7 linked regions of the Mus musculus genome follow. The protein of the gene in region 1 purifies or fractionates together with the protein of each later gene. This does not show direct contact. Links are inferred from orthologs where the notes say so. Each region holds a gene or a part of one and is shown in the gene's direction. Other genes may lie near its edges. The genes, in order: Ambra1, Stub1, Cul4a, Bag5, Hspd1, Dcaf7 and Dnajb1.

What was found.
Region 2: the proteins of Ambra1 (region 1) and Stub1 purify together in Homo sapiens (affinity purification with mass spectrometry, with the first as the bait; 3 studies listed by BioGRID). This does not show direct contact. The link is inferred for Mus musculus from reciprocal best matches to the Homo sapiens genes AMBRA1 and STUB1.
Region 3: the proteins of Ambra1 (region 1) and Cul4a purify together in Homo sapiens (affinity purification with mass spectrometry; 11 studies listed by BioGRID and IntAct, with this or other methods). This does not show direct contact. The link is inferred for Mus musculus from reciprocal best matches to the Homo sapiens genes AMBRA1 and CUL4A.
Region 4: the proteins of Ambra1 (region 1) and Bag5 purify together in Homo sapiens (affinity purification with mass spectrometry, with the first as the bait; 3 studies listed by BioGRID). This does not show direct contact. The link is inferred for Mus musculus from reciprocal best matches to the Homo sapiens genes AMBRA1 and BAG5.
Region 5: the proteins of Ambra1 (region 1) and Hspd1 purify together in Homo sapiens (affinity purification with mass spectrometry, with the first as the bait; 3 studies listed by BioGRID). This does not show direct contact. The link is inferred for Mus musculus from reciprocal best matches to the Homo sapiens genes AMBRA1 and HSPD1.
Region 6: the proteins of Ambra1 (region 1) and Dcaf7 purify together in Homo sapiens (affinity purification with mass spectrometry; 3 studies listed by BioGRID and IntAct, with this or other methods). This does not show direct contact. The link is inferred for Mus musculus from reciprocal best matches to the Homo sapiens genes AMBRA1 and DCAF7.
Region 7: the proteins of Ambra1 (region 1) and Dnajb1 purify together in Homo sapiens (affinity purification with mass spectrometry, with the first as the bait; 3 studies listed by BioGRID). This does not show direct contact. The link is inferred for Mus musculus from reciprocal best matches to the Homo sapiens genes AMBRA1 and DNAJB1.

Annotation. Positions count from the first base shown.
Region 1 is NC_000068.7:91,728,657-91,732,937, forward strand, and holds the start of Ambra1 (activating molecule in BECN1-regulated autophagy protein 1), read left to right. Parts: upstream 1-1,481; 5' UTR 1,482-1,723; intron 1,724-4,281. UniProt on the Homo sapiens protein: Substrate-recognition component of a DCX (DDB1-CUL4-X-box) E3 ubiquitin-protein ligase complex involved in cell cycle control and autophagy.
Region 2 is NC_000083.6:25,830,134-25,834,197, reverse strand, and holds Stub1 (STIP1 homology and U box-containing protein 1), read left to right. Parts: upstream 1-1,278; 5' UTR 1,279-1,344; coding exon 1,345-1,506; intron 1,507-1,953; coding exon 1,954-2,152; intron 2,153-2,236; coding exon 2,237-2,402; exon of another isoform or gene 2,403-2,566; coding exon 2,567-2,654; exon of another isoform or gene 2,655-2,832; coding exon 2,833-2,889; exon of another isoform or gene 2,890-2,979; coding exon 2,980-3,096; exon of another isoform or gene 3,097-3,187; coding exon 3,188-3,313; 3' UTR 3,314-3,564; downstream 3,565-4,064. Other genes in the region: Jmjd8 (jmjC domain-containing protein 8 precursor), read right to left, coding at 3,608-3,688, 3,764-3,898, 3,992-4,059. UniProt on the Homo sapiens protein: E3 ubiquitin-protein ligase which targets misfolded chaperone substrates towards proteasomal degradation.
Region 3 is NC_000074.6:13,104,249-13,108,422, forward strand, and holds the start of Cul4a (cullin-4A), read left to right. Parts: upstream 1-1,374; 5' UTR 1,375-1,507; coding exon 1,508-1,655; intron 1,656-1,945; coding exon 1,946-2,061; intron 2,062-4,174. Other genes in the region: Pcid2 (PCI domain-containing protein 2), read right to left, coding at 527-562. UniProt on the Homo sapiens protein: Core component of multiple cullin-RING-based E3 ubiquitin-protein ligase complexes which mediate the ubiquitination of target proteins. As a scaffold protein may contribute to catalysis through positioning of the substrate and the ubiquitin-conjugating enzyme.
Region 4 is NC_000078.6:111,710,457-111,714,409, reverse strand, and holds the start of Bag5 (BAG family molecular chaperone regulator 5), read left to right. Parts: upstream 1-1,153; 5' UTR 1,154-1,366; exon of another isoform or gene 1,367-1,883; intron 1,884-2,997; 5' UTR 2,998-3,022; coding exon 3,023-3,953. Other genes in the region: Coa8 (cytochrome c oxidase assembly factor 8), read right to left, coding at 992-1,117. UniProt on the Homo sapiens protein: Co-chaperone for HSP/HSP70 proteins. It functions as a nucleotide-exchange factor promoting the release of ADP from HSP70, thereby activating HSP70-mediated protein refolding.
Region 5 is NC_000067.6:55,077,933-55,081,432, reverse strand, and holds part of Hspd1 (60 kDa heat shock protein, mitochondrial), read left to right. Parts: intron 1-260; coding exon 261-360; intron 361-1,085; coding exon 1,086-1,331; intron 1,332-2,202; coding exon 2,203-2,377; intron 2,378-2,725; coding exon 2,726-2,904; intron 2,905-2,992; coding exon 2,993-3,145; 3' UTR 3,146-3,500. UniProt on the Homo sapiens protein: Chaperonin implicated in mitochondrial protein import and macromolecular assembly. Together with Hsp10, facilitates the correct folding of imported proteins.
Region 6 is NC_000077.6:106,035,378-106,039,671, forward strand, and holds the start of Dcaf7 (DDB1- and CUL4-associated factor 7), read left to right. Parts: upstream 1-1,494; 5' UTR 1,495-1,746; coding exon 1,747-1,884; intron 1,885-4,294. UniProt on the Homo sapiens protein: Involved in craniofacial development. Acts upstream of the EDN1 pathway and is required for formation of the upper jaw equivalent, the palatoquadrate. The activity required for EDN1 pathway function differs between the first and second arches.
Region 7 is NC_000074.6:83,606,850-83,610,974, forward strand, and holds the start of Dnajb1 (dnaJ homolog subfamily B member 1), read left to right. Parts: upstream 1-1,325; 5' UTR 1,326-1,482; coding exon 1,483-1,693; intron 1,694-1,698; exon of another isoform or gene 1,699-1,911; intron 1,912-2,964; coding exon 2,965-3,545; intron 3,546-3,739; coding exon 3,740-3,970; 3' UTR 3,971-4,125. UniProt on the Homo sapiens protein: Interacts with HSP70 and can stimulate its ATPase activity. Stimulates the association between HSC70 and HIP. Negatively regulates heat shock-induced HSF1 transcriptional activity during the attenuation and recovery phase period of the heat shock response.

The DNA of each region.
Region 1 (4,281 bases):
GAAGATAGACTTTGAAGTAATATGGATTACATAGTGAGATTCTGTTTAAAAAAAAAAAAAAGCCAGGCATGGTTGCTTATAATCCCAGCACTCAACTAGCTTGAGGCAAAAGGATTGCTGTGAGCTTGAGGTCAGCGTGGGCTTCATAGTGAGTTCCAAGCCAGCCAAGCTATAGAGTGTGAGCCTCCACTGCAGTCTCTCACACTCCCTCAGGCACACTGCAAATGTGGAACAGGAAGGCAAGCACATCAGAATTTCAAAGCCATTCTTGGATACACAGAGTTCAAGACCAGTGTGTGTGCCACACAAAATCCTGTCTCTAAAAACTATTTAGTGAACTAGCTACGAAGCTAACTAAAAGCACACTGTGGACTGTGGCTTTAGATCCTTGGAAGAAAATAAAAGAGAAGTAAGTGGTTTTTTTTTTGAGAAAGAATAGAATAGGCTGGGAGGTTGTGGTGTTCACCTTTAATCCCAGCACTCCGGAGGCAGAGGCAGGCAAATCTTTGTGAGTTGGAGGTCAGCCTGGTCTACAGAACCAGTTCCAGGACAGCCAAGGGTACACAGAGAGAAGCCTTGTCTGGCAAAACAAAACCAAAGAATAAAAATTTAAAAACAAGGTACAGGAACTTTCCCTTCCCACATTAAGGTGTGCCATTTTCTCTTGGATATTCTTCTAAAGCTGACCTGGAGCATTCATAGCGATTGTTCTTCAGCTCTGAGGGGAAACCAAGAATAAAGTGGTAAAGTCATTTGTTCAACTGGGACAAGTAGTGTGAGAAGTCTCTAAGTGTACGGCAGTCGTTGAACTATTAAGACGAGCTTTATTCTGCTATGATTTATCTTCAATCAATGTGCTCACAAAAGGCTAATTCCTTTTTCACTTAAAACAAGGTCTTTGGTGGCGCATGCCTTTAATCCCAGCACTTGGGAAACCCTGTCTCGAAAACCACACACTCAAAAAACAAAACAAAAACCAAAACCTAGCCAAACCAACCAACCAACCAAAAAAAAAAAAAAAAAAAAAAAAAAAAACAAAAAAACAACAAAAAAAAAAAACCACCAAGGTCTCATATAGTCCAGTTTGGCCTTGTGCTTAACTGACTATGACTTTGAACTCCAAATCCTCATGCCTCCTTTCCTAAAATGCAGGGACTACGGGGGGAGGGTGTGGGGGACTTTTGGGATAGCATTGGAAATGTAATTGAGGAAAATACGTAATAAAAAAAAAAAGTACCAGGAAAAAAAAAAAAAAGCAGGGATTACAAGCGTGCTCCTGTCTCAAAAATTTAGTTCTCTAAATTACTTTAACACTCTGTCACCAACAGAAAATGGCAGAATCCCAGCCTACTCTACGCTATAGTTTAATGATCTGGATTTGTTTATTTATGCCTAGGAAGGCAGCCGGATTTGCAGCAGGAGCTGAGCAATGTTTCGGCACTCGGCTGCAGTGCCTTGAACGATTGCTGGGGCGCTCTTCCTTTGATGTCTGGGCGTTCGTGTGTTCGATGATCTTTTGCGGCGTCTTCTTGGTTGATGTCTCCGGAGCGGCGGCGGCTGTGCCAGGTCCTGGACTGAGTTATCCCGGAGGCCCCGGGCTCTGGCCGCTTTCTTCCGCTGGTCGGTCGAGCGGACCCCTCGCTTTCTTCGGCCTCTCCCCGCCTTCCGTCCGTGGCTCCGTGCGCTCGCTGGCTTTCGGGCCGAGCTCTCACTCTCCTCGCAGGTAGGCCCGGGAGGAGCCTGGGAGGCCCGGTCCCGCATCCTTCCGCCCAAGGCAGGAGGAGACCTTAGCGCCGGCCGGTGGGCGAGCGCGCGGCCCGCCGGGGTGCGCGTTGTGAAGGGGGTTGCGCCCGGGGGCGCGGCCGGAGGGCGGCCCGGAACTGAGCGAGAAGCCGGAAGGAGGGAGAGATGCTGAAGCTGCCGGCCGGGTTCCGTAGAGAGGGGATGTCGGGTCCTGGACGCGTGTCGTCACCCCTAGATTGTAGGAACTTGGCTTTCTTAGACCCTATTCCCTTTCTCCTTTCCTACAACTCCGGTTCCGGATGTCATGCTCAGTTGCACTGGGGACCCCTACTGAGTTCAGCCTCGGAGTGCCCTTTTGAGTAGGTGGAGGCTATTGAAACTAGGCCCTCCAGCTCCTAGGAACGAAATATCACTTATAGTCTTTTGGGGTAGGGAAACCGAGGCTGAGGTAGGGGACGTGACTTTTCCCTGTGACCTCGACAGATCATTAAATGTGCTGTAAGGTTCTTTTTTTTTTTTTTTTTTTTTTTTTTTTGTCTTTAACAGTTCACAATTCTCCCATTTTACTGGTCACTTTTTACTTAACAGTCTCTCATTTGACTTTTTGGAACTCTTCTTTCTTAGAAACATATATTGTGTTACTGGAGGCTTCAGACATTAAGGGAGCAAGTGATGTTTTTGACTGGGTTTGCTTTTTCGAAGTTTGTATCGTTTTAGCAAAAGTAGTAAGGATAGTTTAGTTTTGTTTACTCATAAATAATTTGTTTACTTCCACTTTACTTCTGATTAATACTGATTCCACTCTTCAGCTTGTTCTGAAACTTTCTGCTATGGTGTTAAGTACTTAGTGCAAGATGGAAGATGCTTAAGATGGTTAAGACTTTGAATTCAGGTTCTTGTCTTGTGGAGGTCTTTTCTAGGAGGGAATCCAAGGAATCTCTTTTGAAACTTTTTTTTATTTGGTTAGTGATTTAGTCATTTTATTCAAGAGTTCAAAAGTCTGTGTAGAAATTATTCAAACATAATTGAAGATGAATCATTTGTGAACTTTACTGTTTCTCTCTTTTTTTTTTAAAGATTTATTTATTATATGTAAGTATACTGTAGCTGTCTTCAGGCACACCAGAAGAGGGTGTCAGATCTCATTACTGGTGGTTGTGAGCCACCATGTGGTTGCTGGGATTTGAACTCAGGACCTTTGTAAGAGCAGTCAGTGCTCTTACCCGCTGACCCATCTCGCCAGCCCTCTCTTTTCTTTTTCAAGGCCTTAAGGTCTAAGTGTTTTTGTTAATTTCATTTAATCAAATGTCTTGATCCTAAAAAAAAGTCTTGGAGGTTGTTTGATGTTGGGTAAGTTTCCACACTATATAGAAGTCATAGGAGAGTTGATTTTAAGGGTGTATAGATTGTGAAAATCAGTTTCTGCACAGTTTTAAGATGCTTCAGGCCGGGCGTGGTGGCGCACGCCTGTAATCCCAGCACTTGGGAGGCAGAGGCAGGCGGATTTCTGAGTTCAAGGCCAGCCTGGTCTACAAAGTGAGTTCCAGGACAGCCAGGGATATACAGAGAAACCCTGTCTCGAAAAAAAAAAGAAAAAAAGAAAAAAGATGCTTCAGGAACTTTAGAAAGATGATAGAATTTTACATTGTTTCTCTAATTTTTCCTTTAATGTATGTGTAAGGTCAGTGAGGTTTATTATTATTTCTCGCCTTTAGAAGTGCTGGGAATTTTGAACCCAAGGTCACACGCACGTGCTCTTCCACAGAGCTACATCCCTACCCCTGAGATCAGTAATACTTAAATGAAGGTGATTGATGGAATGATTGATTGTGTGTCTGTGTGTCTGTCTGCACATGGGCATGCCATGCATGCATATGGATGTCAGAGGACAATTTCCAGGAGTCATTTCTCTCTGGCACACGGTTCCCAAGTGAATTCAGGTCATCTGGCTTGATAGTAATCTGAGCCATTTTGTTTTTTTTTTTTTGTTTGGTTTTTGTTTTTTTTTAGACAGGGTTTCTCTGAGTAGCCCTGGCTGTCCTGGAACTCACTCTGTAGACCAGGCTGGCCTCGAACTCAGAAATCCACCTGCCTCTGCCTCCCAAGTGCTGGGATTAAAGGTGTAAGCCACCACTGCCTGGCTACTTGATTCATTTTTGTATGCTTTTTTTTGTTTGTGTGTTGCTGTTTTTGAGGCAGGATCCCTTATATTCCAGGCTAGCTTCATTGACTGTGCAGCTGAGGACGGCCTGAGCTCTTTGATCCTCCTGCCTCCACCTCAGTTACTGGATTACCAGTGTGAACCACTGCTTGACAATTACTGAAGTCAATTTGGGCTGTTTCCTGGGATTTCAGAAATGTTCACATTATGACTGAGTTATTCTGTATTTTCATAAGATGGTTCTTGTGGATAATTAAGAGATATAAGCTGCCTGGTGTTGGTGGTTCACACCTTTAATTCCTGCACTTGGGAGGCAGAGGCAGGCGGATTTCTGAGTTCGAGGCTGAGAAACCCTCTCAGAAAAAAAAAAAGAAAGA
Region 2 (4,064 bases), on another chromosome or scaffold:
TCCAAACGCAAGCCCACAACAGAGCTAGGTTCACTTGGCCTGGGTCCTGTAATTCTTGGCAGGTCCTTGTGGGAGGCCCAGTCAGGGTGAAGGTCAGGCAGCAGGTCTGGGCATACATCTGCCCCCCAAGTTTGCACAAGACGAAGAGTCTACAACTCTAAGACACTCACTAGTGAGGTCCACAAGGGTTCTGGGGTCAAGTTACTAACCACCAGAACCATGATGGGGCCCTGGATGACCTCTCAGGCCCCGCTCAGCCCCGCTCAGAAAGGCAGTGAACTCTTGCACCTGGGCTAGAAACAGCAAGTAGTGCTTGAGTGTGTACTGGAGGGTTAGCAAGCTAGGAACTGTAGCCACCGCCTCTTCGTATATGAAAGCTGCAACCCCAGAAACCTCTGCCTCCAGGACCACTGCAAAGAGTGACAAGGAGGTTCTGGGGATAGCTTTTTTTGAGCTCCTAGAGCCCCCACCCAACTTGGGCAAAGATGCTACCTACTCACTCGAGGCAGTGGCAGAAACCACGCAGCGAAGTTTGACTGCGGCGCCCAGATCAGCAGAAAGCCGAGTTCTGCTTCTCCAAGTCCGGGGTTGGGGGTGTTAGCGGCCAACAGCTGATGCAGCAGCGGCTAGAAATGCCTCAACGACAGACCATGGGGTCAAAGGGTCTTGGTGCAGGCGCTCTCCAAGGAAACCAGCCGGCTCCGCCCTTGAAGAAGCTCCTCCCCATGACCGCGAGAAGGGCAAGAGTCCAGCCGTGCACCCGCAGCTACTTCTATAGCAACCGCAGAAGGTCCTTCGGTGTCAGCGTGTCACGTGCTTGTTTCTCAGCCATTAATGGCCGCAGGCAGCTCCTCCCGATTCCCGAGGAAGCCCCTCGAGAGCGGTCTGATCTGCGGGCCTCTCTTCTACCCTCAATTCCGCCTTCCTACCGGCGGTCCAGACGTTCCCAGGCTGTCGCGTGAGCCCGTGTGTGCCCTGGTGGTGCGCTAGGACCCGGGCCTAGTGACCGGCCCTCGGAAGGCCACTTCTCAATGACCGCTGCCACGTTCGCCCAGCTTGGGGCCGGAGGGCGGGGCTTGAGCGCCGATGGGCGGAGCCTTGGTCTGAGCAGGGTAGGTCTCGGTTACTGTAGGGCGGGGCCTGTAGAGCGCGGCGGAAGCTTCTCAGAGCTAAGGGAACTGGCTCAATCCACGAGGCTCCGCCTTTGCTCACGTGTCCCCATGCCAGCTCCGCCCCACACCGGAAGTTCCGGTGGCGGATCGCCGACCGGGCGGAGCTGATCGCTGCGCGGGCTGCGAGATCTAGGTGGCCGGGCGCGGAGCCCAAGCCGTGCCGCGCGGCGCCATGAAGGGCAAGGAGGAAAAGGAGGGCGGCGCGCGGCTGGGCACTGGTGGCGGCGGCAGCCCTGATAAGAGCCCGAGTGCGCAAGAGCTCAAGGAGCAGGGAAACCGGCTCTTCGTGGGCCGCAAGTACCCGGAGGCGGCGGCCTGCTACGGCCGCGCCATCGTGAGTGCGGGAGGGGCGGGGGCGGGGCCCGATGTGCCTCCCAGTTTTGTGATCCCGGACAGGGTTTCTGGCAGCCTGGACTCGATGGCTCGCTCGCTCCCCTGGTGCCCGGATTGCTGTTCCCGAGTCTAGGGCTGATTTGACTGGGAACTGGCGGGCGGGATGCTTGATTAAGTAAGACTAAGGATGACACCAGGAGCTCTTGCCCCTTGAGATTTCCAAGCCCAGAGCTTGTAGAGGGGTTGTGGGATTTCTCTCAAAAGCAGTTGGAGGCAAGAAAGCATGGCCAGAATCCAGAGCTCTTGATAATTCGGAAATCTCCAGTTCCTCTATTCCAGCCATGGGCCCCCAAAGCTGGAGCATTGACCAGATCATTGGCTTTCAGCTTGCTAAATGAGAGGGGATCAACTGAGCCCACACTCTTTGACGCCTGGTCTTGGTCCCCAGACTCGGAACCCACTTGTGGCAGTGTACTACACTAACCGGGCCCTGTGCTATCTGAAGATGCAGCAGCCTGAACAGGCACTTGCTGACTGCCGGCGAGCCCTGGAGCTGGACGGGCAGTCTGTGAAGGCGCACTTCTTCCTGGGGCAGTGCCAGCTGGAGATGGAGAGTTATGATGAGGCCATTGCCAATCTGCAGCGAGGTGGGCTGACAAGATGCAAGGTTGAGGGCACCTTGGGGGACCAGGATTGTTGACAAGTGTAACCAAAAGTGTCCACTCCCCTAGCCTATAGTTTGGCCAAGGAGCAGCGACTCAACTTTGGGGATGATATTCCTAGTGCCCTTCGCATTGCTAAGAAGAAGCGCTGGAACAGTATCGAGGAACGGCGCATCCACCAGGAGAGTGAGCTGCATTCATATCTCACCAGGCTCATTGCTGCTGAGCGAGAGAGGTGGGTCCCTCCCCCAGCAGACACTGAGTCACCAGCACAAGTGTTTTTATTGAAGGACAACAACCGGTACATGGGAAGCCCAGGAGGAAAGAGGCCTGAGATGGGGCGGGCTCTGTGATTTCCTGGTCAGGGCCATCACCAACTAGCTTCTGGTTAACCCTCAGGGAACTGGAGGAGTGTCAGCGGAACCACGAGGGTCATGAAGATGATGGCCACATCCGGGCCCAGCAGGCCTGCATTGAGGCCAAGCACGTGAGGGTGCCCCTAGTCCACATGTGGGTCATTGTGTGTGTGTTTGTGTGTGGCATGAAAAGTGCCCCAGCCTTTGGTGGATCTGTTGGCCCATGCATGACATGAGTGCCCTGGTGGACAGAGTGTGTGTGTCTGTGTGGAGACAGGAGTTGCCCACACATGGCACTCAACTCTGCAGGATAAATACATGGCAGATATGGATGAGCTCTTCTCTCAGGTGGACGAGAAAAGAAAGGTGAGGACCCCCGGAAGCTCATCGGCTGCTGCTGGTATGGTGACCCCCACAGCCCCCTCCAGTTCTAGACATTTTCCCCTTGTGCTATAGAAGCGAGATATCCCTGACTACTTGTGTGGCAAGATTAGCTTTGAGCTGATGCGGGAACCCTGCATTACACCCAGTGGTATCACCTATGACCGCAAGGACATTGAGGAGCACCTGCAGGTAAGGAGGGCCCATGGAGACCGGGCCATGGAGAGCCTTGGTACCCGGATCGGTATACTCAGGCCATTGAACACTCTTGACTCTGTTGCAGCGTGTGGGCCACTTTGACCCTGTGACCCGGAGCCCTCTGACCCAGGAACAGCTCATCCCCAACTTGGCCATGAAGGAAGTCATTGACGCTTTCATCTCTGAGAACGGCTGGGTAGAGGACTATTGAGGCCCCATGTCCTGCCTGGCACCCTGGCCCAGGAGGATCTGGAGACGGAAGCTCCAGTCCCTGTATAGTTTGTGTCCCTGGGCCTGCCCCCATCGGCCCTGCTGATGGGTTCTGAACTGCTCCCCTTCTCAGCATACCCCTTGCTGGACCATGAGCCTCCCTTGTCCCCCTTCTGGGCTGGAGAGTGGGTGAGGGTGGGCTGAGGTTGCTGCTGCTGCCACTGTCCTGTAATAAAGTCTGTGAGCACTACATTGGCATGTGCTGGTGCAGTGGGCTTGCCAGTTGCCTGTCTGGCTAGCCAAGGAAGGTAGAAATGAAGACACTGGTGTCCAGATTGAGTGTGGCATGCCACCACCGATCAGGAAAATACAGTACCTGGGAGAAAAGAAAAAAAAAATTTTGATTCATGGCTTTTTGAGTTAGCCCAACCCCCACCTACCAGCTACTGACTTCACCAGCCTGGATGGTACATTCTAGAGGCCGTGCTGACAGGGCTAGAGATGGGTATATTTCCAGCAGCCAGGCCAATGTGGTCTTGTTAGGGTGGAACTCAGGTGTCTTCTCAGGAGGGTAGAGGAACCAGCGCTGGAGGCAGGAGTGTAAGGTCACTATGTGTGCAATGGACTATAGACACCAGATTTACACACACACATAACACACACATAACACTGTACTGACCTTCCGACCATAGATAACCTCTGAGAAACCAGGCCCATGCCAGTGGAAGGGTACCCCAGATCCAGCTCCTGTG
Region 3 (4,174 bases), on another chromosome or scaffold:
CAGGAAAAGGGGGCTTTGGTAATAGAGCTAAGCGCAAATCCAAGGTTCATAAGCAGCCATGAGCAGCAAGTGTAGTCAGTTAAAACGTTCATCAGTCTTCCCTATCTGGCTGCCCCTTGCACCAGGTGTGTTGCCTAGTGGGATTCACATCTTCAACACCCTAGAAGACGCAATCACGGCCCTCCACCCGGATGCAACAGTGTTTGCCTGTGCCACTCCCAGGCTTTAAGTAAAGCCTTGATGGGCACCGCTGCCAAGAGACACAACGTGCTTCGTGCGGACAGCAGCGCTGACTACACAGACAACCGTTTCTACAAGTGGCCCCGATCTTGCTACCTCCACCTCGGATCCTCCTCCTCCTGGTCCACCGGGCAGCACCTGCAACTTCCGAACAAGGCAGGCTGCCCACCGCGTGCAGCACACCCTCCTCGCCTCGAGGCCAGCCGCAGGACCCCCGGCACCGTCCGACCCGGCCCCAGGACTCACCCCTCGTGGCCCGTAGGCCAGGATACCAAGCGAAACCCACCTGCTGTAGGTACTGGTTAATGGTGATGTGCGCCATAGCGGCGGCCGCGGGTGTTGAGTGCCTCACTTCCGGCGCAGGTCCGTTTCCGCTCCTTGTCCCCACACGGTAACCTCTGCACGTTGGTTCCGGAGCGGGTGAAGGTGGAGCGAGCCGAGCCGAGCCGAGCCGAGCCGGTGGTGAGAGCACTTCTTTGGGGGCAGCTGTCAGCGCGGTCGCCGGGACGCCTCGGGTGCGGCGGGGGCGCGCGCGAGGGCGGAGGACTGACGTGGAGGAGTTCCCAACCGACTTGGGAACGTGTCCCTGGTCACGTCGGTGTGCTAGCGACCCGATTCCTCGCACCCCTCTCCCATGAGGGTGACCCGATCCCCAACCCTCCGTGTGCAGAGGCGCTCCTGACTCTCCCGGAACCAAAGTCCAGAGCCCACTGGGAAGGCGTCCCGCGCACTCCTAGGATGTGTTCCTGAGTCCTCCCACATCTCACACTGGGGCACCCCAGATAAATGGGTGCAGAGCATCCCGTCCCCAACCCCTCGGCGCGCTAGCGCACGGAGCAGCATCCCTGAGCATCCTAGGTGTAAGGTGATCCAGGAGGCAAGGTTGCCGGGTGCTTTTATCCACTCAAGTCCTCGCCGGGGTGTCCTCGTCACGGCCCTCGACGTGACGTGGGGCGGCGAGCTCCGGAGCCCTCGGTGCAGGTGTCACGGCGCCCTCTCGCGAGCATTCGTTGTAGAACGCCTGCGAGTCCCCGAGCCCTCCTTGGGCGGAGTTCGCGCATAGGAGGAGGAGCCGGATCGTTCCGGTGCGCGCCGCGGCGGTTGGGCCTCGGGCGCGCGGACCCGGCCGCGAGCAGAAAGAGGAGGAGCCGAGCGCTCACGGGCGGAGCCCGACAGCAGCAGGAGGAGGAGCCGGGCGCGCACGGAGCGGGCGCAGGGCAGGAGGAGGAGCCGGGCGGCGCGGGGCGGGGCGGCGTCCGGCCCAGCCATGGCGGACGAGGGCCCTCGGAAGGGCAGCGTCTCGGCTCTCATGGGCCGCACCAACGGCCTCACCAAGCCCGCGGCGTTGGCCGGTGGCCCCGCCAAGCCGGGGGGCACGGGAGGCTCCAGGAAGCTGGTCATCAAGAACTTCCGAGGTGGGTGCGCTCCGGTGAGGAGCGAACGGGGCGGCCGGCGGGTCGCGCGCTCGGACAGGGCCTCCTGGGGCTGCCCGGCAGGCCCTGTCCCCGCGCCCCGGCCCGCCTGGTTCCCGCACTGTCCCGTCTCGGCGCCGCAACCCGACTTGTCCCTGCACCTCACGCTCCGCCACGTCCCCGCGCCCCAGCTGGCCCCGATCCCGCACCTCCTGGCTAGCCCGGCCGGGCCCTGCCTCGGTGCCCCGGCCTGTGCTGTCCCCGCGCGGCCGTTGACCCTCTCTCCCCCACAGACAGGCCGCGGCTGCCTGACAACTACACTCAGGACACGTGGCGGAAGCTTCACGAAGCGGTCAAGGCCATCCAGAGCAGCACATCCATCAGGTACAACCTGGAGGAGCTGTACCAGGTGAGCGGCGGCGAGGGCCTGCGAGCACCTGGCTGGGTTCCTCCTCCAGCAGCCACCGGGGCCAACGCTAGGGAGGCCCGCCCGTCCGCCCGCCCGCCCGGGGAGAAGCTGCGGCCCGAGCCTTCCCTAGCGGAAGCCGCGAAACCCTGGGTCAGCAGGTGTTTCTATGGATCGCCGCCCTGGATTAGTGCTGTGTGTTGAGGCTTAGACCAGGCTGCTTAGGAGGTGTACGTTTTCCCAGCGCCAGAAGAAAGGAGGTGTTTGGAGCTAAGAGGCACAGAGCCCCCAGCAGTCTTCAGTGTTATCAGAGTGCCAGTGTGTTATACATGGAACTCAGTACGGCCCCACTTGCTAGTAGGGTCCCTGGGTTGTGACACACACACCCCCTCCCCAACACACACACACTGTTTTGTAGTTTAATTATTGCAAATAAGGTTGCAGACAGATTCTGGTAGGGTTTTTGTTTTGTTTTGTTTTGTTTTTTTTTGAGACAGGGTTTCTCTGTGTTGCTCTGGCTGTCCTGGAACTCACTCTGTAGACCAGGCTGGCCTTGAACTCAGAACTCCACCTGCCTCTGCCTCCCGAGTGCTGGGATTAAAGGTGTGCGCCACCACGCCCGGCGATTCTGGTAGTTTTAACTTAAAGACAAGTTGTGTCTGCAACAGGGGGGGAAAATCATCCGAAGTACATTTTGCTGTTTCAAGCACACTTTTCTGTCATGGTTTTATACAATAACTGCTAAATATTCTGTGTTTTAGTTTGTGATAGAACAAATAATTACTTATATGTTACTTAAAAGTTACCTAAGAGGCTTGTTTTATCCTGGTTACAAACTGAGTGTATTGTAAGTTACAGAAAGCACAAGAAGAAAAGTAAGCAGTGGTACCCGAAGGAACCTGTGGCAGGCCCATCACTCCCAACCCCAAACTCCCAAATCCAAAACTTGTAGTGCACTCATGAAAAAAAGACCCACACCTGACTTCCTCTGCTGGGCCTCAGACAGAACACAGTATATGCTAAAACTGTTGAATAAAATGACCATCGAGCTAGGGCCAGCCAGATGACCCAGTAGGTAAAGCGCTGGCAGAGCCAGCTTGACAACTTGTGTTCGAACCTCAGAACCCTCAAAAAGGTGGAAGGAGAAAACTGACTGGAGACGCATCCCCAGACCTCCAGCCTCTTGACGTGACACAAGCACCCACACATACACTTGGTGTACACACACAATGATAAAACAAGGGATATGGGGTACGAGTCAGCTTTGTGTCTGTTTACACTTGATTCTCAGTACCCAGATACATCATTGTGTATGTGCAAGTATTAATCCGGAAGAAAAACATCTGAAATCCACAACACTAGTAGCCCCAAGCATTCTGGGTAAGGGACCACTGGCCGATGGTGACGGATTGGTGTATATGTGTCTGTTCTTTGTCTTAAGTTTGTGAGTTGATTGTGTATTGAAGGAGAGGATTTTATTTAAGGTTTTGTTTTTGTTTTGTTTAGACAGGGCTCACTGTGTAGCCTTGGCTATTCTAGAACTCACTGTGAACAGTCTGACTTACAGAGATCTTCCTGCCTCTGTCTCTTGGTGCTGGAATTAACATTATGCACTACTACACCCGCCTAAAGATTTGCTTTTATTTTTATTATTTTAAGTATGTGCCTATGTGTAGGTGTGCATATGAATACAGTGTTGGGGGCATGTGACATGTGCTCCAGTAGGTTTATTTTGTTTATTTTATTTTTTTATGAGAAGAGAGAGTCGGTTGGTTTTATTTTTTACGAGATTCACTGTGGGGCTGGAGAGATGGCTCAGCAGTTAAGAATGCTCTTACAGAGGTCCTGAGTTCAATTCCCAGCAACTACATGGTGACTCACAACCATCTGTCATGGGATCTGATGCCTCCTTCTGGTATGTGTGAAGACTGGGACAGTGTACCTTATAACTATGGGGAAAAAAAAAGGTCTCACTGGGTATTAGTCCCGGCTGCCGCTCATGTGCCGGGGCTATAGGTTAACTCTAACATACTTGTCCCAGTAGATTTTAATGGCCTAAGATAGAGTTGTTTGCCAGCCGCTCAGTGAAAATGTAGACTGTTTCCCTCCCCGGTAA
Region 4 (3,953 bases), on another chromosome or scaffold:
CCTCCTTCCCTCTCTTCATTATTGCTTAAACCAAGCTCTCTAGTCTCTATCACTAGCTTAGTGGTCATTGAAGTGTTAGTAGCCACTGATTAATGTTTTACCTCCAGCCTTAGCGTTTTCATATGACTGATAGACTCTAAACCTAGGCCTTTTTTTTTTTTTCCCGAGACAGGGTTTCTCTGTGTAGCCCTGTCCTGGAACTCACTCTGTAGACCAGGCTAGCCTCAAACTCAGAAATCTGCCTGCCTCTGCCTCCCGAGTGCTGGGATTAAGGCGTGGGCCACCACGCCTGGCAACCTAGGCCTTCCTTAAGCAAAGCATTCTGTTGCAAAGAAGTGCAACTGAGGGCTGGTGAGATGGCTCAGTGGGTAAGGGCACCTGACTGCTCTTTGGAAGGTCCAGAGTTCAAATCCCAGCAACCACATGGTAGTTCACAGCCATCCGTAACGAGATGTGAACTCCCTTTTCTGGAGTGTCTGAAGGCAGCTACAGTGTACTTACATATAATAAATAAATAAATCTTAAAAAAAAAAAAAAAAGAAGTGCAACTGACTAAAAAAAAAAAGCTTTATTTAGTTTTATATATGTGAGTGCATTGTTACTGTCTTCGGTGTTCCTAACAGCTGAACCATCTCTCCAGCCCAGCAATTGTTTTTTTGAAAAAGGCTTCACGCCCATTCTTGCTGCAGACCTGCACTGTGGATCTCTGACATCGCGTGCACGTTTACAAACAATGCGAAGTCTACAGAAGTGGGATGATGAAGTCAGCCACGGCTTTAAGTCGAACACTAATCTTAACGATGCGAAAATGAGAAAGAACACCCTTCAAGAGCTGTGTTAATACAAATGGGAATTAACTCGGGGATAAGCAAGGCTCGCGCTCTCCACAGCGGATCCCGGGCAGTGATCATCAGTCCGTCGGAGAGGTGCAGGCGGCGTGGGTTTGCTCGGCGGCCTTCCTCCCTGCCAGCGCCCCCGGCGTCCCGCTTACCCGGCTGGACGCCGCATCCCTGTGATCCGTAGGGCGCTCACGGGCCAACCTAACGCCGCCGCCGCCGGAGAAGGACCGGCAGAGAAGCCGGCGAAGCGCTCTGCTTCCGGGCCGCAAAGCCGCCATGGCCCGCGCGTACGGCAGGATCGCGACAGTGGAAAGGTTGGCGTTACGGCGGCGTCGCAAAGCCCGAGCCGACGCGCGGCGAGGCCGACCGTGCGCATTCCCTGGGACGGACGCCGGGCGGCGGGGCCCGCGCGGGACGAGGAGAGGACAAGTTTTCCCCGGGCTCACTGCTGACGGGCCCGCTCTGCGAGGACGGCGACAACGCTGCGGAAGTGTAGGTGGCGGGGCGCGATGGCGCGTGCGGCCCAGGTGAGCGTGGGGCGAGGGCGCGAGCTCCGTTCTCCCGGCCTCGGGCGCTCCGCCGCCCTCGCTGCGCAGGCCCGCGCCCGCCGCGCGCCCATTGTGAGGTCAGGCGGCGGCGCGTCCGGCCGGGCCGAGACCCGGGAGCGGCCGCCGCGGCCAGTAGCTGCCGCCGCCTCCGCCGGCCCCTTCACCGGCTGCCCGGGTCAGACCTAGCCGGGAAGGGCGAGGGGGGATGCCGCTGGGGGCACCGCTGCGGTGCCGCTCCCCGTGAAGGGCCGATCTCCCACCTCGCAGCCCCCCGCGGCAGCCAAGACCGCCGCCGCCCAGACCTCCCGGGGTAAAAGCTCTGCGAGGGCCGGGCTTGGACCCTCCCGGGGACTGAGTTCTGTGGCCTGCCCGCCAGAAGTGAGCTGTTTGACAGAAACCTGAGAGCGTGGGAAATGCTCTAAGCGCACATACCGGGAGGCGAGTGACCGAGTTAATCGCAGTCGGCAGGTTTGGGCGGCGGGTATTTGAAGTCAGGGTGAGGATTTGGAAGTTTCGTAGCTCCTCTTTCAGAAAAGTAGAAAGTTAGCTAGCTGTCTGGACGAATGGTGCTCCTGTGAGTGTGGAAGAGCTACTGTTAACTTCCAAACTGGTTCCAGAGAGTAGATTAGGATGGGGGGGGGGGGGATCTAAGGAAATTGTGTTGCTAACCTGGTGGGTTGACTAGAATGGCAGTGTACGCAGCTCGCTCTCATGGTTTAAGACAGAATTCATAGGCCTAGACATCCACCCAGGCTGGATCATGAGGACCTTCTGTCTGTCGTTCAAATCCCTACCGTGTTCCCCTATTTCCGTTTTGCTTTGAATTCTTAGGGTCACCAAGTAGCCCATGGTGATCTTGAATTCGTAGTTCCCTTTCCTCTGTATCCCCGACGCTAGGATTGTAGGGATACACCAGCACACCGGTGAGCTTGCTTTGTTTTGTTCCTGTCCAGCTGTTTTCAGGAGAGGGAGTTGACATGTCACATCTTCCCTTTCCTCAAGCAACCTTTTACACCTTTGACGAAACCTTTTGTGTATTTTGGTGCATGCCCAGGTGCCAGAGTTTGGCCTCCCTGCCCGCCCACCATCATTTCCTTGGTGTCCTTTGACTTTGGCTTTTGAAGTGGGGCTTCCCATGGTCCTGAAGGTCCTCGGTTAGGCTAACCTGGGCTGGCCAGTGAATCACGAGATCCATCTATCGCCGTCTCCCCGGCACTGGCTTGCCTGGCTTTTCTGTTTTACTTCATGGGCGTTGGCGCTTCGCCTGCATGGATGTCTGTGCATCACTGTGTGCCTGGTGCCTCTGAAGACAGAAAGGGAATCAGATGCCCTGGGACTGGGGTTACCTGTGTGGTCATGCACTGTCATGTGAGTGCTGGTAATCAAACCCAGGTCCTCTAGCCAGCACCTTTAACCACTGAGCCCTCTCTCCAGCTCCGCCCCAGCTTTTTTTTTTCCACATGTGTTCTGGAATTCCAGCTTGGACACTTGATGAAAAATTATCTCCACAGCCCGAATGAGCCCTTTTAACAAGTGTACTAAGAAGGAGTGTTTAGAGTGGGTTCTTGTCCTGCAGAGACTAATACGTTATCATTCTTGCTATCTTTCAGTGCTTGTGAAACTGAACACAGAAGTATGGATATGGGAAACCAACACCCCTCCATTAGTAGGCTTCAGGAGATCCAGCGGGAAGTAAAGGCTATAGAGCCGCAAGTGGTCGGCTTCAGCGGCCTGTCGGATGACAAGAACTACAAGAGGCTGGAGAGGATTCTGACCAAACAACTTTTTGAAATTGACTCTGTGGATACGGAAGGAAAAGGAGATATCCAGCAAGCTAGGAAGCGGGCGGCACAGGAGACAGAACGTCTCCTCAAGGAGTTGGAGCAGAATGCCAACCACCCACACCGCATCGAAATCCAGAATATCTTTAAGGAGGCTCAGGCCCTTGTGAAAGACAAGATTGTGCCCTTTTACAGCGGAGGCAACTGTGTGACTGACGAGTTTGAGGAAGGCATCCAGGACATCATTCTGAGGCTGACGCACGTGAAGACCGGAGGGAAGGTCTCCTTGCGGAAAGCCAGGTACCGCACGCTCACCAAGATCTGCGCGGTACAGGAGGTTATTGAGGACTGTATGAAGAAGCAGCCGTCCCTGCCACTGTCTGAGGATGTGCATCCTTCAGTGGCCAAAATCAACTCTGTCATGTGCGAGGTGAACAAGGCCAGAGGGACGCTGATCGCACTTCTGATGGGCGTGGACAGTTCCGAGACTTGCAGGCACTTATCCTGCGTGCTGTCAGGACTGATTGCTGACTTAGATGCTCTAGATGTGTGTGGGCGTACAGAGATCAGAAATTATCGGAGGGAGGTGGTGGAAGATATCAACAAATTACTGAAATACCTAGACTTAGAAGAGGAAGCTGACAGTACACATGCATTTGACCTGGGACAGAACCATTCCATTATAAAAATAGAAAATGTTCTCAAGAGGATGAGAGAGATAAAAAATGAACTTCTCCAGGCGCAGAGCCCTCCTGAGTTGTACCTGAGGGCCAAGACAGAGCTGC
Region 5 (3,500 bases), on another chromosome or scaffold:
TACTGACTCACAACTGTGTCTGCAATATAAGGGCAGCATTTGTTTAAGAAGGGGATCTGCTTGGAACAAGATTTGATGAGTAGAGGTCCCCATCTTGTCTTTTTTCAGACCAGGAGTTGTGGGAAAAGAGTAGGATTGGGATAGAGTTATATAGTACTAATAGTTGTATATAGTACTAGAACTTACCAGGAACTAAATTAGATGCTTTCTCCCAACTCCCCCTTCAGTTTACATCTTACACAGTTAAATGTTCTTTACAGGCTAAAAGTTGGTCTTCAGGTTGTGGCAGTCAAAGCTCCAGGATTTGGGGACAATAGGAAGAACCAGCTTAAAGATATGGCTATTGCTACTGGTGGTGCAGTAAGTAAATCTTGTCATACTGCTTTGCTTAGTGATGTCTATGCTTCCAGGCTGCAAATACAATGTATACTTCATAAATAGATAGGACTGTTGCTAAGTAATTTATTTATTTATTTATTTGGGTTTTTGGAGACAGGGTTTCTCTGTATAGCCCTGGCTGTCCTGGAACTCACTTTGTAGACCAGGCTGGCCAAGAACTCAGAAATCCACCTGCCTCTGCCTCCCGAGTGCTGGGATTAAAGGCGTGCGCCACCACGCCTGGCTTGCTATTTTTTTGCTTGGTACACAGGTATTGGATTAAGGTCATGTTTCTAACTTGCTGAGCCTGGCGTGAGAATGGACATAGTTAAACATTCTTCTCAAAACTTTAAGTGATTTTGTTCTGGTATACCAGTGGTCTTGACATCTCAAAGAAAAACAGCATTTCTTTTTCTGGATATTTTAAGCTTTATGTATATGGATGTTTTGTCTGCCTGTTTGTATGGTGTATGCATACCAGAAGGCGTCCATCCAGTCCCATAGGACTGCAGTTTATAGACAGTTGCAAGCTGCCATGTTGCAACTTGAACTCAGGACACCTGGAAGAGCAGAATAGCCTTCCAGTGCTCTTGACTGCTGAGACATCTTGCTAGCCCTGAAAAGCTGTTTCTTCTTACAAAATATCTGTGACATATAGTAATAAGCCTGGTATAATGGAAGCCACTAATAGCACACTGCTTTTATAGGTGTTTGGAGAAGAGGGGTTGAATCTAAATCTTGAAGATGTTCAAGCTCATGACTTAGGAAAAGTTGGGGAGGTCATTGTCACCAAAGATGATGCCATGCTTTTGAAAGGAAAAGGTGACAAAGCTCACATTGAAAAACGTATTCAAGAAATCACTGAGCAGCTAGACATCACAACTAGTGAATATGAAAAAGAAAAGCTGAACGAGCGACTTGCTAAACTTTCAGATGGAGTAGCTGTGTTGAAGGTAAGACTGACTTGCCGGTAAACATTTTAGGCTGAGTATCGTGATACTGGTTCTGTGGTATTTACCAATAGTAACTAAATGAATATCTCCTTTCCCAGAATTTTTAGTTTGTTTTGTTTTTTGAGTGTGCATATGACCAAACTTTCCATAGAGTACATGTAGCAATCGGGGGCAACTACCAGCAGTTGGTCATCTACCTTTCCACTGTGATTCCAGGAATACTCAGGCCATTGGCTTGCAGGGCAAGCAAGACCTTTGGCCCATTTGGGTTATATCCCAATGCCTTCTGAGCCATAAATAGGCATCTATCCCCTACTGGTATTATGCATGAGTATGAAACCGTTCTTGTGCTGTGTTGTGCAGTCTACCCCTACCCAATTTCCCAGTCTCGCTCTTTTCTCTTTCCTTTTTCTCTGTGTAACCCTGACTGTCCTGGAACTCATTCTGTTCACTCTATAGACAGGATTTTCAGTCCTAGAACTCAATTAGTAGACCAGGCTATCCTTGAACTGAAAATCCATCTGCCTTTGCCTCCCAAGTGCTGGGATTTAAGGCATGTGCACTGCTGTTTGGCTAGTATCCTTTTCTCACACAGCAGTACAGCTTGTGTGGGGAGGTTCAGGATTTTGTCAGTGGGACACATTATAATATATATGTTATTCTAGAGTTGCTTCTTTTGTTGTTGCTTTTGTTTTGAACTCTGCTGTAGCCCTAGCTGGCCTCAGTTGGTGTAACCCACCTGCTTTAGCCTCTCAACTGCAGGGGTCATGACTTACATGATGCTGTACCCAGCTTATGTCTGCATTCTAGGTGGCTTTAGGTGGTCATTGAATGGGAAAGGTCATGCTAACTGGAATTTCTTAATCTCTAGGTTGGAGGAACAAGTGATGTTGAAGTGAATGAGAAAAAAGACAGAGTTACTGATGCTCTCAATGCTACAAGAGCAGCTGTTGAAGAAGGCATTGTTCTAGGAGGGGGCTGCGCTCTGCTTCGGTGCATCCCAGCCTTGGATTCATTAAAGCCTGCTAATGAAGACCAGAAAATAGGTAAAGATCATCTTTCAAATGAGTTTGTGGCCTCATTCTTATTGAAAAGTATTGTTGATTAGCAATGTAACACATTTTACAGGGGGAATTATTTCACCTATGGTAGGATTGGATAAGTCTTCTCATTTACTAAACTCTTGTTTTCTTTTTAATTATTTTGTGTGTGTTGGGGGGTGCATTTTGCCTTCATGTCTTGTGTGCTATGCATTTACAGTATTCTCTGGGCCAGAAGGGAGCATTAGGTAGCCTGGACCTGGAGTTACATTGGTGCTAAGGATTAAACTAAGTCCTCTGGCTCCCCAGAAAGAGAAGACAAAGCAAATTTGTAAAAATGTGTTTGTTTTATAGGTATAGAAATTATTAAAAGAGCACTTAAAATTCCTGCAATGACGATTGCTAAGAATGCAGGTGTTGAAGGATCTTTGATAGTTGAGAAAATTCTGCAGAGTTCCTCAGAAGTTGGTTATGACGCCATGCTTGGAGATTTTGTGAACATGGTGGAAAAAGGGATCATTGATCCAACAAAGGTAAGTGATTCAGCATTTCATACACACTGGATGTCTTGCTCTCTGCATGGTTTTTATTCATAAATTATTTTACTAAAATTTTTTCTAGGTTGTGAGAACTGCCTTACTGGATGCTGCTGGGGTGGCCTCCTTGCTAACTACAGCCGAAGCTGTAGTGACAGAAATTCCTAAAGAAGAGAAGGACCCTGGAATGGGTGCAATGGGTGGCATGGGAGGGGGTATGGGAGGCGGCATGTTCTAACTCCTAGAGTAGTGCTTTGCCCTTATCAATGAACTGTGACAGGAAGCTCAAGGCAGGTTCCTCACCAATAACTTCAGAGAAGTCACCTGGAGAAAATGACTGAAGAGAAGGCTGGCTGACCACTGTAATCATCAGTTACTGGTTTCCTTTGACGATATATAATGGTTTACTGCTGTCATTGTCCATGCCTACAGATAATTTATTTTGTATTTTTGAATAAAGACATTTGTACATTCCTGATGCTGGGTGCAAGAGCCATATACCAGTGTCCTGCTTTCAACTTAAATCACTGAGGCATCTCTACTGTTCTGTGAGCATCAGGACTGTAGCGCTGTGTCACCACATGAGAGTTCAG
Region 6 (4,294 bases), on another chromosome or scaffold:
TTCCAGGACAGCCAGGGCTATACAGAGAAACCCTGTCTCGAAAAAACAAAACAAAACAAAAAAGACCTGTTCCGTAAAATAGATAGATAGACCTCCGCTAAGATTGTACTACAAGACCATTATTAACCCACTGAAAAATCAGAAATGATGTAACCAATAGAAAACTATGGACCAAATTTCCTGATATGCACAGAAATAAAACGTTTCAATAAAATACACACCTAGGTATCCAGTTAATTTTCTTTTAACTTTTATTATTTTGAAACAGATTCTCAACTAGCCCAGGCTGCCTCTAATTGGCTCTGTAGCCCAGGATAAGAGTGACTTTCTGGTTCTCCTGACTCTACCTCCCAAGAGCTGGATTAGAGGTGTGTAACACCATGCCTAGGCTCTATGTAAAAATAAAAGTGCCCAGTAGACTTGTTCATACAGGTGGCCATTACTAAAAGATGGTTGATAAGTGTATACTATTGTCCCTCAAGGCTTCCAAGTGTTTGTATCCATTAAAAATTGTATTTTACAGACTGGAGAGGTAGGATAGCCCTATGGGCACTGGATGCTCTTGCAGCAGACCTGGGTTGGATTCCCATCTGTAACTAACTCCAGTTCCAGGGGATTGAATGCCTCTTCTGACCTCCGTGGGCAACTGTTCACATGTAGTACACTTACTTATACTCGGGCACATACAAATACACGTAAAATTAACGTGTTTTAAAGTACTGCCTAACAATTCAATACAACCCCTTTCAATATCGTTGAAAGAATTTACATTTATATTGGTGTACCTAGATCCAGGTTTTTCTGCATTTCAAACTCATGGCATATAAGCATTTAAAGTTGGATTACCATTTGGCTTCTGAACATCCCAGAGGAAGAAGGTAAGTGACTAATAGCCAGGTCATTTGCAAATCGATCCCAGAATTCAGGAGTCTCTTTAGTGTCTGTAGGAAAGCGCAGGAAAGCCTTAATCAATCTAGCCTGTCCCTGGACGTTTCTATCATGCCTGAAAGAGAACAGTTAAAAGGTGGGCATTGGAGCTGGAGAGAGTTCCCGTTTGGCAAAGACTGAGGGACCGCCGGACATAGGGAGATGTAATAAACGCAGGTGGTCCTCCATGAAGGTAGGTTTGACAGTTACTGTCAGTGGAGAGAGGTGATCAGAACAGCAGCAGCAGAGGAGAAATAGCAGGCTTTACTCTTGGCCTAGAATTTGGATCAGTAGAGGGGCACACTTGCCCCCATGCCACCCACGCCCCCATTCACCCGCACTGCGCCGTTATCCCCTTGACTGACATCTTGGGTAGCCAATGATCTTTGGGACTTCAAAAGAGCCCGCCTCCAGGAGCTGGGCGGGGCTAATGAGCAGAATGACAAACATTTTCACCAATAGTAAGGAGGGCGCGGGCGCTACAACTGTGTCGACCAATGAAAAGAAGGAACAGTTTGGAAAGGACGTACCCGGCAGCCAACGCTCGTCGCCGCTGCGGGGTCGCGTGGCTTCCGTTCCGAGAGGGCGGGCCGGCATCCCAAACGGAAGGTGGTAGCGCTGCCCGAGCTGGTTTGAAACTGGTGGTCGGGCCCGGCCGAGTGTGAGTGTGTGTAGCCGAGGACCCGCTGGAGGGCTAGGCCGTTCTTGACCGCCCCGGCCCCGCCTCCCCTCGGACCCGCGGACCCAAGCCCGGGTCCCCGCCTGTCTTGTGCCCCAGCCCGCTGCCTCTCTGGCCGGCTCTGCGGCCCAGCCGCCACCATGTCCCTGCACGGCAAACGGAAGGAGATCTACAAATATGAAGCGCCCTGGACTGTGTACGCCATGAACTGGAGCGTGCGGCCGGACAAGCGCTTTCGCCTGGCGCTGGGCAGCTTCGTGGAAGAGTACAACAACAAGGTGAGTTGTGCCGGGGCTCAGCGTGTAGCCGGCGGGGAACGCTCGAGGTGGGCGGCAGCCCCGGTCCCCACAACTCTCCTGCAAACTCGCCTTGACCACAACAAGGGGGTGGGTCCTCTGTGGTCCTGTCGCTGAGGTTGTCACACTCGTTGCCTCTTATTTAGTTTTGACAGCCGGGGGAAACCGAGGCACGGTGTTGTGACATGCCTGAGGCAGATAAGATTTTCGATGGTAGTAGCAGGTTTCAGATCGGAGTCACACCCCCAAAGCTATGTCCTCCGTCCCTCTCATTTCCCCCACTCCTGTCGCAGTGCTTCTGTTGCTAGGTGGGGGGCGGGAGAGAGGCAGTGGAGGAAGATGCGGCGCTTGGATTGGTGGTCGTGCATTCCTGGCCACGCGAGATTTCTGTTAGGGCTATTTATTGCAAGATCTTCCCCATCTCAGGTGTTTCTCATGGATACAGAGCCCTAATGCTAGGTTGTCATTGGTCATTGGTTTTGCTCCTTGATGTTCACCCTCCCCCAAACAGCCTATCCTTGGAAACCTTAGTCTGTGGCATTATCCCGCCATTATTTCTGAATAGAGAAAGATGACGTTTGACCTGTTCTTTTCGTGGTTCTTTACACATTCATTTGCAGCATTGCTGGACATCATCACTTCATCAAAACACTGGCAGAAGGAGAGAATTTTTATATGCAGGGTATAGGTTTGAAAGTATTGAGAAGAATTTTCTTTCCCTAATCTCTTACCTTCATTCTTTTGTTGTAATTTGAGTTAAAAAAAAAAAAATGAATGACAGTAATCAGAGATACTGAAAGCTTTGGCCAGTGGTATTTATAGCCAGTACTCTGCCTTACTCTTATGAACATCAGACTGGAGACAAATGACAAGATGGTGGGAGCAGTGGAAGAAGTAGGTGGTCTAGGATTTAGCTATAAGGCATTGAACAAACCAGATTTTATTATTTTTGACCCACAGTGATCTAGGAGAGGGCTTCTGTTTTATATGTGAAGGGTCAGGTGAAAACATTTGAGCATTTTAGGTTTGTTTATGGTATTTCGGGAGCACATGTGTTTCTCTGGGAAAGGGTCACCATTTTTTGGCATCTTCTTTGAGAAAAGGGTGAAAAGGATGGCCTTTGATTGTCTAGACGTCACACATACACCAGCAGTTTACAGTCCCAGGGAGTGTGTACCGAGCCGCCCTTTCCTAGTGAAGAGCCCTATTTCTTGTCTCCTCTCTAGTGGCTTTTTTTACCCCCACAGTGGCAGTAAAACTGGAGCTGGGCTTCAGGGTCCTGGTGTGCATAGTGTCTTATGAGGTTATTATTTTTTGAGACAGTCTCATGTGGCCCACCTGCCTCCACCTCCCAAATGCAGGGATCACCAACATATGCCACTGTGTCCCACTACCTTGTGGGTTTTGTTTTTCTAAAATAAAAGTGCCATATCTCCTTTGTTTGTTATCATAAGCTCCTTGAAGAAAGAAAATTTATTCCACTTTAGGACACACAGTGTTCATGTGGAACACCACAGTGGACGTGTTTGAGTGTGGGATAAACACGTCTGTGTTATTCAAATCAACCAACACTTGGAGTCATTAATCACTTTCCCATAGCTGCTGATATAACCAAAATCAGCCATGCATGAGACCCTGGGTTCCATCCCCAGCACAAGAATAAAAAAGTTTTCTAACTAAATTATCTGACTCCCTACCTCATCTGAACTGAGGCGCAGAGGCAGCTCATGCACAGCCACACAGGCTGGGGAGAACGTGGTTATGATTATCAGGTGGGGTCTAGAGAGAACCAGGGGTAATTCCTACCACCCGCATGGTGTCCCAATTCCAGTTCCAGGGGAGCCAACAGGCATGCATGAAGTACACATACATGCATAAAGAAGAGAGAATGAGAATTTAAAAGATGTCCACAAGGTGGTCAGACACCTTCTATGCATAAACAACAATTTAAAAACCAATCTTTCAAAAAATAAAAATGAGGAAAAGTAGGCCAAGAATGGTGACGTGCCTGAAATCTCAGCAGGTTCCGATTTGAAGGCCAGTCTGGGAGACTTTTTTTTTTTTCAGTGCGTGAACAAAACCCTCAGATATGTAGTTAAAGATCCTGCTTCGTAGCTCTCCTCTCTAGGGTTTCGTTTCCCAGGTTGGAGGAAGTTGTGAAGAGTGACTGCACAAGGCTCTGAAGGTAGGGGACAGACGAGGCACAGAATGGCAGAGCATGGGGAGACTGGAGGAAGGACTGGCTGTCAGCAAGATGACAGTGTCAGGGTCAATTTCCCCAGCACTCCCTTAGTGTGTAAGGAAGAGCAGTAGGATGCTGGACCGTGGGAGAGGATAAGAGGGGTACCTCTGGCTACAGATGCCAAACTCAGAAGAACTGTACTTGTCCGCA
Region 7 (4,125 bases), on another chromosome or scaffold:
AACTCACTTTGTAGACCAGGCTGGCCTCGAACTCAGAAATCCGCCTGTCTCTGCCTCCCAAGTGCTGGGATTAAAGGCATGCACCACCACTGCCAGCTCACTATCTCTGTCTCTGTACCTTTAAAGACACTTTCTCTACAAGTGTTCCCTAGCTCCAAATCCATGGGGAGGCGGGGGGCAGGGCTCAACTGGTTCGGTTTTCATGGGGTCAGTACAGTTAGGAAAATCAAAACACATACACCACACACAGCTATACCATTAACGGAAGGCTAAAGTCATTTTTCTCAGGGGTGCCTAGGGCAAGGGTTATCTGACTCTCCTCCTACAGAGCTTCCAGAAAGGGAATGTCAACAGTTGTCCACTAAACAAGATGATTAATCATCTCTTTCAAGAACACCCTTTGTCCCTTGTCTTTAACAAATGCAGAATAATGTCAACTTCACCATATTCCACGACCATTCCCTTTGTACAGATGACCACACTGAGACCAGAAAAGCTACTCTACCAACCCAAGGTCACACAGCCAGAAAGTGCTAGGATGAGAGTCAGTCTTTCATGCACTTTCAGGCAGTCCCATTCCCTGCAAGAACCACCAATGACTATTCCAGCTTCTCTATGCCTTCCAATATCTGAAGCTCTCTCCTCTTCCTCACTCAGCTCCGTCCTTGACCGCCATCATCCCAGACTTACAAAACCAAAAGCAAAAAGCTATACTATATCAAAGTATTTGGAAATATTTACGAAGCACCCAGTGGATCTTTAAAAAAATCACGCAGCCCTGGTGGTAAACTCAGACGGCAAAGGAAGTGACAAGTATCAGAACGCCAAGAGGCGAGCTAAACCCAGTAGGAATTAGTAGGAAGTAAGATAAACCGGAGAGGCAGCCCGACTGCAGCAAGCCCAAGGCAGACCAGTCTCACCTCGCTTTACAGTAACGGCCTTACGGGAAAAACCAAGGGCTACGGGCAGAAGAGGGCGGGGTGCCTATTTTTATCCCTGGGTTAGAGCAGGAAAGCTTAGAGGTACTTGTCAGGTAGCTACCACAAGTCACGCAGCAGAACCTCCCAGCCGGCGATAACCTGGGGGAAAGGGTGCGGCCTTTCGGAGAGGCCCGTCTCTGTAGCCCCGCCCCTCTTCGCGCCTCCACCTGTCCGCAGAGAGAGAGAGGGTTGCGATTGGCTGGATCCGCTACGGAGGCGGAACCCCAGCAGCCGGCGCGCGCGCCCGAGGAAGGCGTTGACCAGAGTAGAGAGGGAAGGGGCGTGGCCCCGCGCGGAAAGCCGTTGGCAGCCGGGTCCCACCCCGGATGTGCTGCGTCACGGAGCGGGCCGCAGCGATTGGCCGGTGTCGTGCGGCGCATCGGGAGGGGCGGAAGGTTCTGGAGGGCTGGCGGGATCTGGAAGCTTCCGCCGGACGGGTATATAGAGTCCGGGACGGGGCAGCAGCGGAGCCGGAGGCGGCGACAGCTGGGCGGCGGTGGCCATGGGCAAGGACTACTATCAGACGCTGGGCCTGGCCCGCGGCGCGTCCGACGACGAGATCAAGCGAGCCTACCGCCGCCAGGCGCTGCGCTACCACCCGGACAAGAACAAGGAGCCCGGCGCTGAGGAGAAGTTCAAGGAGATCGCCGAGGCCTACGACGTGCTCAGCGACCCGCGCAAGCGCGAGATTTTCGACCGCTATGGAGAGGAAGGTACGTGTGCGCGCGGCCGGGGTGACCCGCCGTTTGACAGGCGGGGAAACCGAGGCACTCGGAGCCTCTCCAAGACCTCGGCCGGGGACAGGCATTCCGGGGATCTAGCGGCGGCGCCGCCTCCTTCACCCTCTGATCCGCGGCCTCAGACAGGAGGAGGAGCTCTGGGCGCGCCGCTGGCACAGAAGCTTCTAGCACGTCTGCCGCAGCCCCTCCCGGTCGGTCGCCTGCACAGCGCCGGAATGGTGCAGATGGAGGGCGGCGGTCGCGATGGGAATGAAAATTGCCCGAGTATTGATTCTCTTTCCTAGCCGCAAGCTCAGTGTTCGCTCACCCAGGGTTGAGCCTTTTTGGTAACAGTGCGTAGGAGCTTCTCTGTAAGATGGTAACAGCATAGCTGGGAGGATGGAGCAGTCACGTAAACCTGGTCGCACCGAGATCTAGAGGCCTTACTACCGAATATGTTGTCAGGAAGTAAAACGGAGTAGTGTGTTTCTTGCTCCTATTGCCATTGGGAGTTAAAAGACTTGAGATTCGTCCTTGACTAACAAGCTTTTTAATATATACATAAAATCCCTCCCGCTATAGTTCCTGTGGCCTTTTTACTAAGAGCAAAACTTGTTGAGCAGAGTGCGGGGGCTCACACCTCCACATGGGAAACCGAATTAGGAACGCTGTGAATTTGCTTCAAATCAGAGCTACAGGGTAATAAGCTCCTGTTTCCAAAGGAACCGGATGTTGTGACAATCCCCCCTCTGGGGTATTTGAGTCAGGAGGATTGCCTTGAGGCTACTCTGGACGAAAGTTTGTGTGTTACGTGGCATTGACAGTAATACATGCAAAAGGAACAAAATGTGACCATTTATTTGAGACAGGACCTCACTGTTGCTGGAACTTTGTTTTTCAATTTATTTGAGCGTGTGCCTCCGTGTATATGTGTATACCATTCACATGCTTCTAGAGAAGAGGGCATTAAAGGTCCCGGAACTAGAGTTAGACCATGGTCTGCTGCTATGTAGGTGTTGGAAATTGAACTTGGTTCTTCTGCCAGATGAGCCAGTGCTCTGAGCCATTTCTCCAGCACCTCATGGTGGAGCTCTGGCTTGTCTGGAACTTGCAGAGATCAGTCTGCACTTGTCTTGAGAGTGCTGGGGTTCTGAGCTCTTTGTTTCAGGGGTTTTATGTTTTATAAGTGTGTTGAAGTGTTGGGGGTGGAGGGAGGTGGGGCTGACTCTCCAGCAGTAACCCTGACTTGTGGTTTTGGTTTCCAGGCCTGAAGGGTGGTAGCCCCAGTGGAGGAAGCAGTGGTGGTGCTAATGGTACCTCTTTCAGCTACACATTCCACGGAGACCCCCATGCCATGTTTGCTGAGTTCTTCGGTGGCAGAAACCCCTTTGATACCTTTTTTGGGCAGCGCAACGGGGAAGAAGGCATGGACATTGATGACACATTCTCTAGCTTTCCAATGGGTATGGGTGGCTTCACCAACATGAACTTTGGACGTTCCCGCCCTTCTCAAGAGCCCACCCGGAAGAAGCAAGATCCTCCAGTCACCCATGACCTTCGGGTCTCCCTTGAAGAGATCTACAGCGGCTGTACCAAGAAGATGAAAATCTCCCACAAGCGGCTGAACCCTGATGGAAAGAGCATTCGAAATGAAGATAAGATCCTGACCATCGAAGTGAAGAGGGGCTGGAAAGAAGGGACCAAAATCACCTTTCCCAAGGAAGGGGACCAGACCTCGAACAACATTCCAGCAGACATCGTCTTTGTTTTAAAGGACAAGCCACACAATATCTTCAAGAGAGATGGTTCTGATGTCATCTATCCAGCCAGGATTAGCCTTCGGGAGGTAAGGTGCTAGGTGGGTGGAGGAGTCATAAAAAGAGATGGCTGCTGTGAGAATAATGGGTTGTGGGGTTGGGGGGGCTTTGGAGTGGGGTGTCAGCGGGCCTGGTCTGGTAGACCTGACCCTTCTCCGGACGGTCTGGAGGAGTGAAGCTCCTAAGCCAGCCACTGCCTGACACTGTCCTTTTGCTTCCCTAGGCTCTCTGTGGTTGCACTGTGAATGTCCCTACTCTGGACGGCAGGACCATCCCTGTTGTATTCAAAGATGTCATCAGGCCTGGTATGCGGCGGAAAGTCCCTGGAGAAGGCCTCCCTCTCCCCAAAACACCTGAGAAACGTGGAGACCTTGTTATCGAGTTTGAAGTGATCTTCCCGGAAAGGATTCCCGTCTCATCCAGAACCATCCTGGAGCAGGTTCTTCCCATATAGCCACCTGCACTCCTCAAGGACTGAGCCAGGGGCTTTCAGAGCTGCAGATCTCCAGACCGTTCCACTGGTTGCATACTGCGGGAGGGCCCAGGGAGGGCTTTTGCTCTGCCGAATGTTTTCCACAGAATATATTACAATCTTTCAAAGTCGCGCAC